2 linked regions of the Arabidopsis thaliana genome follow. The protein of the gene in region 1 interacts with the protein of each later gene in a pairwise test. Each region holds a gene or a part of one and is shown on either strand. Other genes may lie near its edges.

Region 1 (6,220 bases):
GTTGACAGTAATAGTGGGATTGAGATTGGTCGCACTATAAAAAAGTTTCCCTTGTTGACTCCAAGGGAGTATGTATTAGCGTGGAAATTGTGGGAGGGGAAGGATAAGTTTTACTGTTTCATCAAGGTAATGATGCACTTATCTTAAGGGCATTATTTTTAATGCTATTATTTCTAAATTACATTATTCATTTGCACCTATGCATTCCTCTTTAAATTTGCTAAGTATTTCTCGTATATGCTAGATACACAGACCTGGACCATGTTATATATTATCTGTTATTCGCTTTGCCTCTTTACTTATTGTTTTGCTCTTTGGTTATTATCAGGAATGTGATCACAATATGGTGCCGCAACAGAGGAAGTATGTACGTGTAAGTTATTTCAGATCTGGTTGGCGAATTAGGAAAGGCAAGTGTTTCTTGTCAGGGTTATCATCCATATTTCAACTAAATCTTCTCTTGATATCTCATCAGTAACATATACCACAAATCTCTGTAATATGTATGAGTGGTGAATAAGGTTTTTCATTCCTCCATACTGTCTATGCATAACTTAAACTTGCTGCAGTTCCTGGTAGGAACGCTTGTGAGATACACATGGTTCACCAGGAGGATGCTGGATTAAATGTTGAGATGGCAAAGCTTGCTTTCTCAAGAGGCATATGGAGTTACGTTTGTAAGATGGAAAATGCACTTCGCAAGTACATTGCAACCAGTCATCGACCCCAAGGGCCCACATTATCTGCTGTAAGCTTAATGAAAAAGGTGAGATGTTAGTGTTTTTTTTTACCTGCTCTGAGTTCAGTTCTCTGGTCAAGTGCTGGATAGATTGTTCCCTGCAAATATCTGTTTGTGAAATCTCAATGAATATGCCTTGTTTGACCCACCCTTGTCTTATCCCACAGATTCCATCGGAGTTAGAAAGTCAGACAGACGACATTACAAACTCCTCGGGAACTACCACTAGTGGTATGCACACAGGTGAAGGAGCCAAACGGAAGAAACTGTTGAGAAAGCCTTCAAAGAAACTGATAGCAAATGGTATGTTACTTGTGGGCGGTGCCGTTGGTGGTGCAATCTGCCTGTCTCGTGGTCACTCCGCCTTAGGGGCAAAGGTCGCGTTGGCTTACTTCTTGTCGAAGATGAGAAAGCGTGGAGCTCAACTGAGTCAAACTTCCCAAAACGCTGGTATTTAAGTCATGCATAGATTTGGTTTTGATGAAGCATGTGCAACTTACTTAGATTAAGCTTGTGTGATAGGGAGTGTCTGTAAAAGTGATTAAACGTGTGAATAGAAAAGTTCTATTTCTGCAATGTCTCTGATCACATGAGCTCTGGGGTCTTCAAAGTTTTGTATACGTGTCGTGGAAGACTTTATATTTGTGTTAATGTGAATGTAAAAACTTGTATTTTACAGTCAAGCCCTTGTTTTTCTCACCAAATTTCAGACCAATTGAATGAAATTGTTGTAATTTTTGTTTGTTCACACACACGTGTGCTTGAAATTGAATATACGTTGAAACAAACTTGTTTATGTGTGTGTTTTGCAGTTGGATCGGGACTTGGACACAGTTGTGGTCTCTCTCCTAATGTTTCGGTGTCTGCTTCATTTTTAGCTGTACATTTCTCTATTCACACGTCCAGATTTATTCGCCTTTTCACTCAATAACGTCATTCAAAAATCCTAAAAGAAAACAGAAGAAACTGAATTTGCCATTTTTGGTTACTGCCACACCATTTCCAATTTAGTTTTCTTTCATGACCTATCTAGCTTCTTTGTTTCCTCTCCTTTGGTTTTCGTGTGTTTCCTTCATCCCCAAGGAAACCCGGAACCAGCCCTGGGTTTCTCTCTGGATCATCTCTTTTGTTATTTTACAGATTTTGATTTTTGAGCTTAAAACTGTCGGATCATGGGACCAAATCTGCAGCGGATCGTACTTGTCTTCATTGCATGTTTCGGAATCTTCACCTCCGTTGTTCTTGCAAAAACCGATAGCCAAGACGGTGAGTGTTCTTATTGAATCATTTAAAAACGTTGTGATCCGATCTTGAAATCAGAGAGGTGGTTGTAAAATTTCATATTTAGTTCATGAACGTTATTCCTGCCTGATCATATTTATGGATTCTTGTAGTATCTGCTCTTAATGACGCTTATAAGAGCATGAACTCTCCATCAAAACTCAAAGGCTGGTCTTCAAGCGGAGGCGATCCTTGTGGCGATTCGTGGGATGGCATTACTTGCAAAGGCTCTTCTGTTACTGAAATGTTTGTTACTTCCTCTCTGGTCTTGATCAATGGTTTGATACTCTTCACCGATTCTGATTTTCTTGTTTTCTCGTTTTCTGTTTCTGTAGAAAAGTATCTGGACGTGGACTCAGTGGATCTTTAGGTTACCAGCTTGGAAACTTGAAATCGCTCACTTACCTGTGAGAATGTTTTTACCCTCGATACATCTCCTTAATCTCTACTTCTTGATCAAATTCAGTTAATTGATGATATCAGCTACATGTTCTGTTTTGTCATTGTAACAGTGATGTAAGCAAGAACAATCTTAACGGAAACTTACCCTACCAGCTTCCTGACAAGCTTACTTATCTGTAAGTATCTTCGAATTACAAAGCCATAATATATGATGTTCATTAGTACACAATTTCAATGTGTTGGTATTGCAGAGATGGCTCTGAGAATGACTTCAACGGTAATGTGCCATATTCGGTGTCTCTCATGAACGACCTCAGTTACCTGTAAGCCAAAGACATTTAATTTGACTCATTCGCATAATCTTTTCCCACGTATCACCCCGCCCTTTTAGTCATACCTGTTCTTGTATTTACTCAGAAACCTTGGCCGTAACAACCTCAATGGTGAACTCAGTGACATGTTTCAAAAGCTTCCAAAACTTGAAACAATGTAAGCCACATACTTCTTTTTTTGCAGCAGATTTGGAAAGATTTCATTAACTTCATTGAGTATATGTTTTGCAGTGATCTTTCTTCCAATCAACTCACGGGAAAACTACCGCAGAGTTTTGCCAATCTAACAGGTCTTAAAACACTGTAAGAGAAGAAAGCACTTCGAAGTAGTTGTTCAAATTTAACTCCTTTGTACTGTTACTCACCTTACCATTCTAATTATAGGCATTTGCAAGAAAACCAATTCAAAGGCTCTATAAATGCTCTCAGGGACCTCCCTCAGATTGATGATGTGTTAGTATTTTTCATGCTATATACATAACACATCGTTTAAATCCTTGAAATATGAACTTTCTTTCATTAATGTTGTTTATGAATCTTGCGTTGACAGAAACGTAGCAAACAATCAATTTACTGGTTGGATCCCAAACGAGTTGAAGAATATTGGAAACCTTGAGTAAGTTTTATTATCTCTCTCATTCTCCCTTAAACACAATCAAAAGATGCAAAAGCATTAATGTGTTTTTCTTCATTTCTTGGTTAGAACTGGAGGAAACAAGTGGTCAAGCGGTAGAGCTCCTTCACCACCTCCGGGAACCCGTCACATAGACAGAAACTCATCAGGAGGCGGTGGAGGAAGCAGCAAGGCTCTGACACTAGGAGTTATAATAGCGGTGTCTTCTATAGGTGGACTCATTTTATTTGCAGGGTTGATTGCATTGATTTCTCGAAGAAAGAACTCTAATGATTCTTCTCACTTTTTCGACGACGAGAAAGGAACCAACCGAAGCAAGCCACTCTTCACACCACAATCCTCTCAGATGCTTCAATTCGATAATATGGAAGAATTCAAAAACCAGAAGACAGTTGATTCTAATACTTCACTTGAAACAAAGCCTTCTGTTAAAAGAACTTCTTCTGTCAGTTTCAAGAACTCTCCTACTTTTCATCTCATACCTTCTACCCAAGTGGCTGCTACCCCTGACCGTTCCTCCACCTCCCAAGACTCTCCTGATACACGCGGTGTGAAAGCGTTTTCACTAGCGGATTTGCAGAATACCGCGTCTTGTTTCTCGCCGAATCGCCTTCTTGGTGAAGGAACCATTGGACGTGTTTATAAAGCTAAATTTCAGGATGGAAGGGTTTGTTTTCCTTGTTACATTCCACATTTTCTTCTCAAGAAAACTTTCTTTAGATCTCTTATCTTGTTATCCTCTTCTTACCAGAAATTTGCAGTCAAAGAGATTGATTCTTCTCTGTTAGGAAAAGGCAATCCGGAAGAGTTTTCACACATAGTGTCGAGTATCTCGAGTATTCACCACAAGAATATGGCAGAACTCGTGGGTTATTGTTCAGAACAAGGAAGAAATATGCTTGTTTATGAGTATTTCACAAGTGGATCACTTCACAGATTTCTTCACCTGTCTGATGATTTCAGCAAACCATTGACGTGGAACACCAGAATCCGAATCGCTCTCGGAACTGCTAAAGCTATAGAGTAATTATCTAAACCATTTGTTTGAGGAGAATCATCGAACTAGCTACTTGCTGCTCTTCTTTATTTTCATTTTTTATCTTGTGACAAGAAACTCTCTTTTGTCAGGTACCTTCATGAAACATGTTCGCCTCCGCTAGTTCACAAGAACATCAAGTCATCAAACATTTTACTTGATAATGAGCTAAATCCCCGCCTCTCAGACTATGGCTTGGCAAACTTTCACCACGTGAGCTTCTTGTAAAAATTAGTGTTATGGAGATACAGAGTTGTTTCAAATCTATTAAAGTGTCTCATCTCTTGAAACTGTAGCGCACAAGTCAGAATCTTGGAGTTGGATACAATGCCCCAGAATGCACAGATCCCTCCGCTTACACACAAAAGAGCGACGTGTACAGCTTTGGTGTGGTGATGCTTGAGCTGCTAACTGGTCGAAAGCCTTATGACAGGTTCCATTCTCAAACAGTAGTAATGTCCGATATAATATCTATAAAGAACTATACAAGTATCTGAAATGTTTTTTGAATGCCTCTAATCTTCAGTGGGAGGCCAAAAGCAGAACAGTCTTTAGTTCGTTGGGCAAAGCCGCAGCTTAAAGACATGGATACTCTGGATGAAATGGTGGATCCCGCGTTGTGCGGACTCTACGCTCCAGAATCTGTATCATCATTCGCGGATATAGTTTCCATCTGCGTAATGGTACGCTCATTGTTGATTCTCTATTGTGTTATTATGTTCTTCAGAGCTTCTAAGTTCAAGGTTTGTGAGAATGGATTGTTATTTCTTGTTTTCAGACGGAGCCTGGACTTAGGCCTCCAGTGTCAAATGTGGTGGAGGCATTGAAGAGGCTAGTGTAGTCTAGTGCCTCAAGTCATTTTGAAGCCCCCAAAGTATTAAAAGAAGAAGAATAACTCTTCTGGAGATTGCGGCTAAAACCTGAGAAACTTCTGATTAAAATCAAGTAGGAAACTCAAAAGCTATTGGATTCAGGTTTGTATAGAGAGATATATAGGTGGAGGAAAGGAGAGACAGAGATTCTATTATTTGGGTTTTTGTTTCAGATCATGTCTTAACCTTTAGATTAATCTTTTACACAATGAGAAAAGTTGAAAAAAGCTACTAGTGTCATAGAATAACCCTCTCTTGTAATCCACTGTCTACAAACATAAATCAAACTGCAAAATAAAATCCAAAAGTCTCATCTGTGTAAGAATATTAACAATTAGACCAGTAAGCTCTGTTTTCGGAAACAGAGTCGTCTGTGCATAAACAGAAATCGACAAATTAAATGTAGACTTGCGTACGAATTTCATATTTCTCCTGATGATGTTTTTTTTCTTTCTTGTATAGGATTTTACCTAACACGAATTTCTTAATTTATCCATCCTGATTATTACATTAAATCTAAAGAAGAAAGCTTCTTGTATTTGTGAGCTTACTTCTTTCCTTTTCAAAGAAGAATTGAAAAATGCAGCATAAAGAAAAAAGGAACTGTATCTCAGTGTCATTGTTGTTTCTTGCTATTATCAGCCAGTACATGTTCATCTAAGACAGCATTCTCGGATTGGTCTTCTTCGTTGGACAAGTTCCCATCATCTTCTTCGCTGCTCCATTTCCTTACAAATTTGGGAACCATGCTTTTTACATCACTTGCCTCCGACACTTGATCCATATCGTTCACTCTCTCAAACCGGACAGCACTAACTTTTCTTGCATTCCCTGCTAGTATCTACAAACCGAAAAAGACCTCGATTAGTTCAAAACATTGACGGTGCTTTGTGCCAAATATGAAAATGAGCCACTCAATACCTC
Region 2 (4,719 bases), on another chromosome or scaffold:
CAGCAGTATTGTAAAGAAAAAGCAAAGCAATAGCGATTTCTTTTTCTGGTGGGTAATGATTTATAAACAAAAAAGAAATATTTAATAAAGTATATAAAACATGAAAAAAATAAAGTACGAAGATGTCATAGTAGCCCAACATACCCTGTACTCGCCTTTTAGGAAATAAATAACTATTCGTGTTTGTTAACATTTGCAATAATAGTCATATTTACAGAACAAAAACATTGAAATAATTTGATAAAAAAAAGAAAGAACATTGAAATAATTTCCATAAATTCGGAGTACGTAATCGACCGTTTACTAATATGACTCTCATCAATAAGGACGTCAAAGTATGTCACACCATCCACGAGAAATCGAGAATCGAATTATGTTGAAACTTAGGTATTGAGTAAAAGAAACCAAATAAAGGTATTGAAAGCTCACAAGAATCTATTGTAAACTTTAGTTTTTCAACTATTATTATTTTACGTTATTTATTTTTTACGTAAAAAGATGCAGATTGAATAATTTGTTCTGTCAATTAAGGTTATATTCGATACTGTTTATTTCTGTTTTTCGACACTGTTTATTCACATAAACAAATTACAGTATCCAAATGAATCCCGTAGGAATTAAAATCCCCAAAAAAACTAAACGTTGCAACACAAGTACGAAATTGTCCAATAAAAGTATGAAATAGTCCAATAAACAATGAAAACGATCGTTATCTTCTCTTCTTCATATTTCATTTTTTGAAGACATATCGGTCATGATTCTTGTTGAACAAGCGTGTTTAGGGAAGTAGATCAAGGAGTCATCGGAATAACCAAAAGTTGACCGTTGTTAACATTTGTACGGCCTTCCTCTTCCTTTTCTTCTTCCACCGTATTGGTAGGCAACTTCATGATCTTACACTCTACTATTTGCTTACTCCTACTCCATAGAAATATATATAAACCGATCACAACCACCACAGATCCAATAACGCTACAACAATAATAAAAGTTTAGTCCATAACATGCACATGATATAATATATTCAAGAGGTTTATATAGTTAAAATATAAAGTTAATACAGTTAGATTTTTAATAATATACCTTCCCAAATAAATCTCACGATGAAGAATCAAGAAATCGAACACGGTTGCAGACATAAGCACGACAGGACTAAATGATGAGGAAACGACAGGTCCTTGTTGTTTGATACACCACGACATGCCCACCGTACACATACCTTGTGCAACCACTCCCTATAAACATATATTAACAATAGATCAATATCTGATTATTGTGTGGATCCAAATTATTTATATGTCTGACGAAACATTGTCTTATATACCGCTATAACGACGGTGATGATGGTAAGCTCATCTCTAAGGATCCAATCTTCCAAATGTCTAGTCTTAATTAAACTAAGAAGGGCGCATTGAAGCGTACCAAAGACCGACAAAATAACGGTACTCGAGTATGGACAAGGGTATTTCACGTTGATCTTGGCTTGTATAAGCATCCAAGAACTGAAAAGAACAACTCCGGTCAATAAAAAGAAACAACCTTTGATCCAATTCTCATGTCCTGTGTGGTTATTTGAATTTGCTGCTTGTTCTGGAGAGTTTGTTAATGGAATCCCTTGATACATAGTAAGAAGTAAACCTCCTACTAAGCTTATCAAAGTTCCAAGAACGACACCGTATCCTATTTTTGTTTTCAAACTTAGCTTTTCGAACCTGCAAATTTTATTTTTTCAAAATAAAAAGGTGTAAGATTACACTTGAGATGATAGCGTATATGGCACTTTTCTTTATTTTAACAATAATTGTACCCAAATATTAAAGCCATAACGAAAGTGAGGGAAGGCATTATGGCCCAGAAAGCAGATCCCAGCGTTGCAGACGTGTAGGACAGTCCAAGCAAGTAGAAATATTGCATCAAGCTCGCCCTGAAAAAGAAAGATTTATGATAAACGATTATATTTCATTTTATCAAAAACAAAAAAAAATAACATCTTACATAAACATACAAAAAAAGCAATAAAGAGGGAGAGAATAGAAAAACATAAGGATTTAGTGGATTAAAACCGAAACTTACCCAAAAAGGGCACTGACGAAAAGCTGACATGAGATGCTTAGAGTTAGCTTTGGTCTTGTTTTCCTGAACAAATCATGAAATCGAATATTTATTTTGTTAGGCACACACAATTCTGATTCTATATCCGTACATAGAAAAACATTCATGAAACTCTCTAGTATATACTCTTTATTGTTTTCAAGTTAATATTCTTTTATCTTATGAAATAAAATAAATTAAATAAAGTAATTAGCCAGAAAAAAAAAGATAGAGATGAAGCATCAAACGTGATATTTGTGTCTTCTTGTATTTTCACAACATAGTAACCAAAATTCAATTTTTTTAAAAACACTGCCACAAACTTTTAAATATTTTATTATTTTATTAAGGCATAACGAAATGTATAAAAATCTGAAAGCTACGAAAATAAAAATCAAAGAAGAAGTAGTAAACGTACCGTTCCCAAAAATAAGCGACTGGAAGAAGGAAAAGAGTAGATATACCCAAACGATAAGTAGCAATAACCATATGATTGATGCCTCCATCAAGAACTTTCTTAACTAAAGCATTAACCATTCCCGCAATCATGTTAGAAACAATTAAGACTATCATTGGTGCCCACTTTCCATCGATAAAACCCATGATTAGTATAAGTTAATTACTTAATAACCAAAATGATATCTCTTTCTTTCTCTCTCAGTCTCGCTCTCTCTCTTAGCTTTTACTCTATCCTTCTCTCTCTGTCTCTTCTTCAGAAACTTGTTTGAGTAGTGAAATATTAAGACTAGAGGTGGATATATTTATAAATAACATGGATGTTGAGTTGGAGCCCATTTCTTTCTAAAACAACAAAAAACAATGAAAATATTTAAAGAACGAGTAGGTATTGAATTCTTTTTTAACTATGAAACAAATTATAGAACTACTAAGTAAAGTTCTTTAACAGAAAAAAAAAAAAAACTATTAAGTAAAGTTATATGAAACATTTGTTTTTTGAAATTGTAGGTATAGAATATACTGTTTTTCTCGGTGGAAGGGATTAGTAATATATATATATATATATATATTTATATGTAACTGTGATGATGTATATACCACATATGAATGATGTTTCTATATGTATTAAGTTATTAACTATATATTTGTTATAAACTATGCGGGGGCATGCTAATAGTATATATTTCTAAAGATATTAACTATTAGGTAAATGATATACGGGTATGTCAAACTACAAAAAAAAAAATACAACTAAATACTAGGAAATATAAAACTAACACCACTACTCAGTAAAGTTTAGTGGTGTCAAAAAATTATAATTAATTTCTCAATATGTTAGATTTATTTAAGTCACGACTAAATAATGGTAATTAAAGACATAAAATTAAATTAATAATATGAAAATTAGTTTTTTCTTTTCTTATACAACTAAATCTCATACAAATACTCTTCTAAATTTAAAACAGTACTATAAGTTTATAACACAACAGCTTCACTAATAAGCTACCCACCCCGGTCCATAACTGAGTTTGTCGTCAACTTTTCTTATTATATTTATCGACTATATATGTAGCACTAATCGAATTAAAAATTGTTGTTTTGCTCACGTTGTTAATTACGAGTTCAGTGTAATCATTTTAACAAAAATTAAAGAAATGGATAAAACCCAATCATTTCATCAAATGAAAGCAAAGTTGCCTTTGTACCGAACAATTGAATTAATATTTCCCCCAAAAAGAAGCAAAATTATAATTTAAAACATACTTTCACTATCTCTATAAACTTATAAGGTATACGACACATTGTAAATTGACAAGTACACCAAATTCTTTTCTGTTTAAGATTTATTAATATGTAAGCTTACTGATGATAAGATAATTAGATTTCCTTTTTCGTAAATACCAGATTTTATAAGCCCAATTGGAGCCAAACAGCAAAAAATTAAAATTAAAATATGTTCGTAATGTCATAATAAACTATAAAAAATACAGTTTTTTTTAGAAAAGTTTTATCAACCAAACTCCGATGGTTTCAGATGACCTCCTTATTTTTTTTTTTTTTTGGTTCCATACTTCCAGATTAACCACATAATAAAAAAATAAAAAATAAACTTTACTACTACTTGCATCAAAACAAATTACCCAACTTTATATTGAAAGACATTCAAATAACACATGAATAATGTTTCTTCCACTGGTCACATAGTTGATTTTTTTTTTGAATATAAGAACTGTAAATATCATTTCAAAAAATGAAAGTTTAGGATTTAATTGGTCCGAGAAATTTTTGTAAAAAACATGAAAGCATAGACATTCGAGGATTAAATCATCAACGAAAACCATAAGCGGTGAAGCTTATGGCAAGGCTACATTTGAAGTTTTTTTGTTATCACACATCCTGAAGCTAATTGACAATAAACTTGTTGCCACCTGCCAAATAAAATGTTTTAATTTTGCAAGAAAAAAGATTTTCCCAATTATACTTTTAAAAGCATTAAAGTTTTGTCTCCAACTATAATATTCAGAAGGTAAAACTCACGTAATAGAGCAAACCATTAATATGATTTAACAGTAAATTTCCCAAATCCAGTGAAATGCCATGTACTGTATAGTTATCATGTCTATATAAGTGTAAGCTAAATACCCCACCCACGAGTAAAATGTGTATCTGT

Evidence for each region. The genes of interacting proteins can lie anywhere in the genome.
Region 2: the proteins of SRF4 (region 1) and UMAMIT30 interact in a protein complementation assay, tested with the Arabidopsis thaliana proteins (one large-scale study listed by BioGRID).

The regions. Positions count from the first base shown.
Region 1 is NC_003074.8:4,185,599-4,191,818, forward strand, and holds SRF4 (STRUBBELIG-receptor family 4), read left to right. Parts: upstream 1-1,772; 5' UTR 1,773-1,911; coding exon 1,912-2,005; intron 2,006-2,133; coding exon 2,134-2,266; intron 2,267-2,355; coding exon 2,356-2,427; intron 2,428-2,532; coding exon 2,533-2,598; intron 2,599-2,673; coding exon 2,674-2,745; intron 2,746-2,839; coding exon 2,840-2,911; intron 2,912-2,985; coding exon 2,986-3,057; intron 3,058-3,138; coding exon 3,139-3,207; intron 3,208-3,304; coding exon 3,305-3,370; intron 3,371-3,457; coding exon 3,458-4,055; intron 4,056-4,139; coding exon 4,140-4,411; intron 4,412-4,516; coding exon 4,517-4,637; intron 4,638-4,720; coding exon 4,721-4,857; intron 4,858-4,950; coding exon 4,951-5,107; intron 5,108-5,202; coding exon 5,203-5,265; 3' UTR 5,266-5,700; downstream 5,701-6,220. Other genes in the region: AT3G13062 (Polyketide cyclase/dehydrase and lipid transport superfamily protein), read left to right, coding at 1-126, 329-410, 570-766, 907-1,189, 1,552-1,670; AT3G13070 (CBS domain-containing protein / transporter associated domain-containing protein), read right to left, coding at 5,913-6,137, 6,218-6,220.
Region 2 is NC_003075.7:606,560-611,278, reverse strand, and holds UMAMIT30 (nodulin MtN21 /EamA-like transporter family protein), read right to left. Parts: upstream 3,007-4,719; 5' UTR 2,694-3,006; coding exon 2,509-2,693; intron 2,136-2,508; coding exon 2,073-2,135; intron 1,924-2,072; coding exon 1,807-1,923; intron 1,712-1,806; coding exon 1,324-1,711; coding exon of another isoform or gene 1,288-1,323; exon of another isoform or gene 1,235-1,287; coding exon 1,083-1,234; intron 973-1,082; coding exon 792-972; 3' UTR 514-791; downstream 1-513.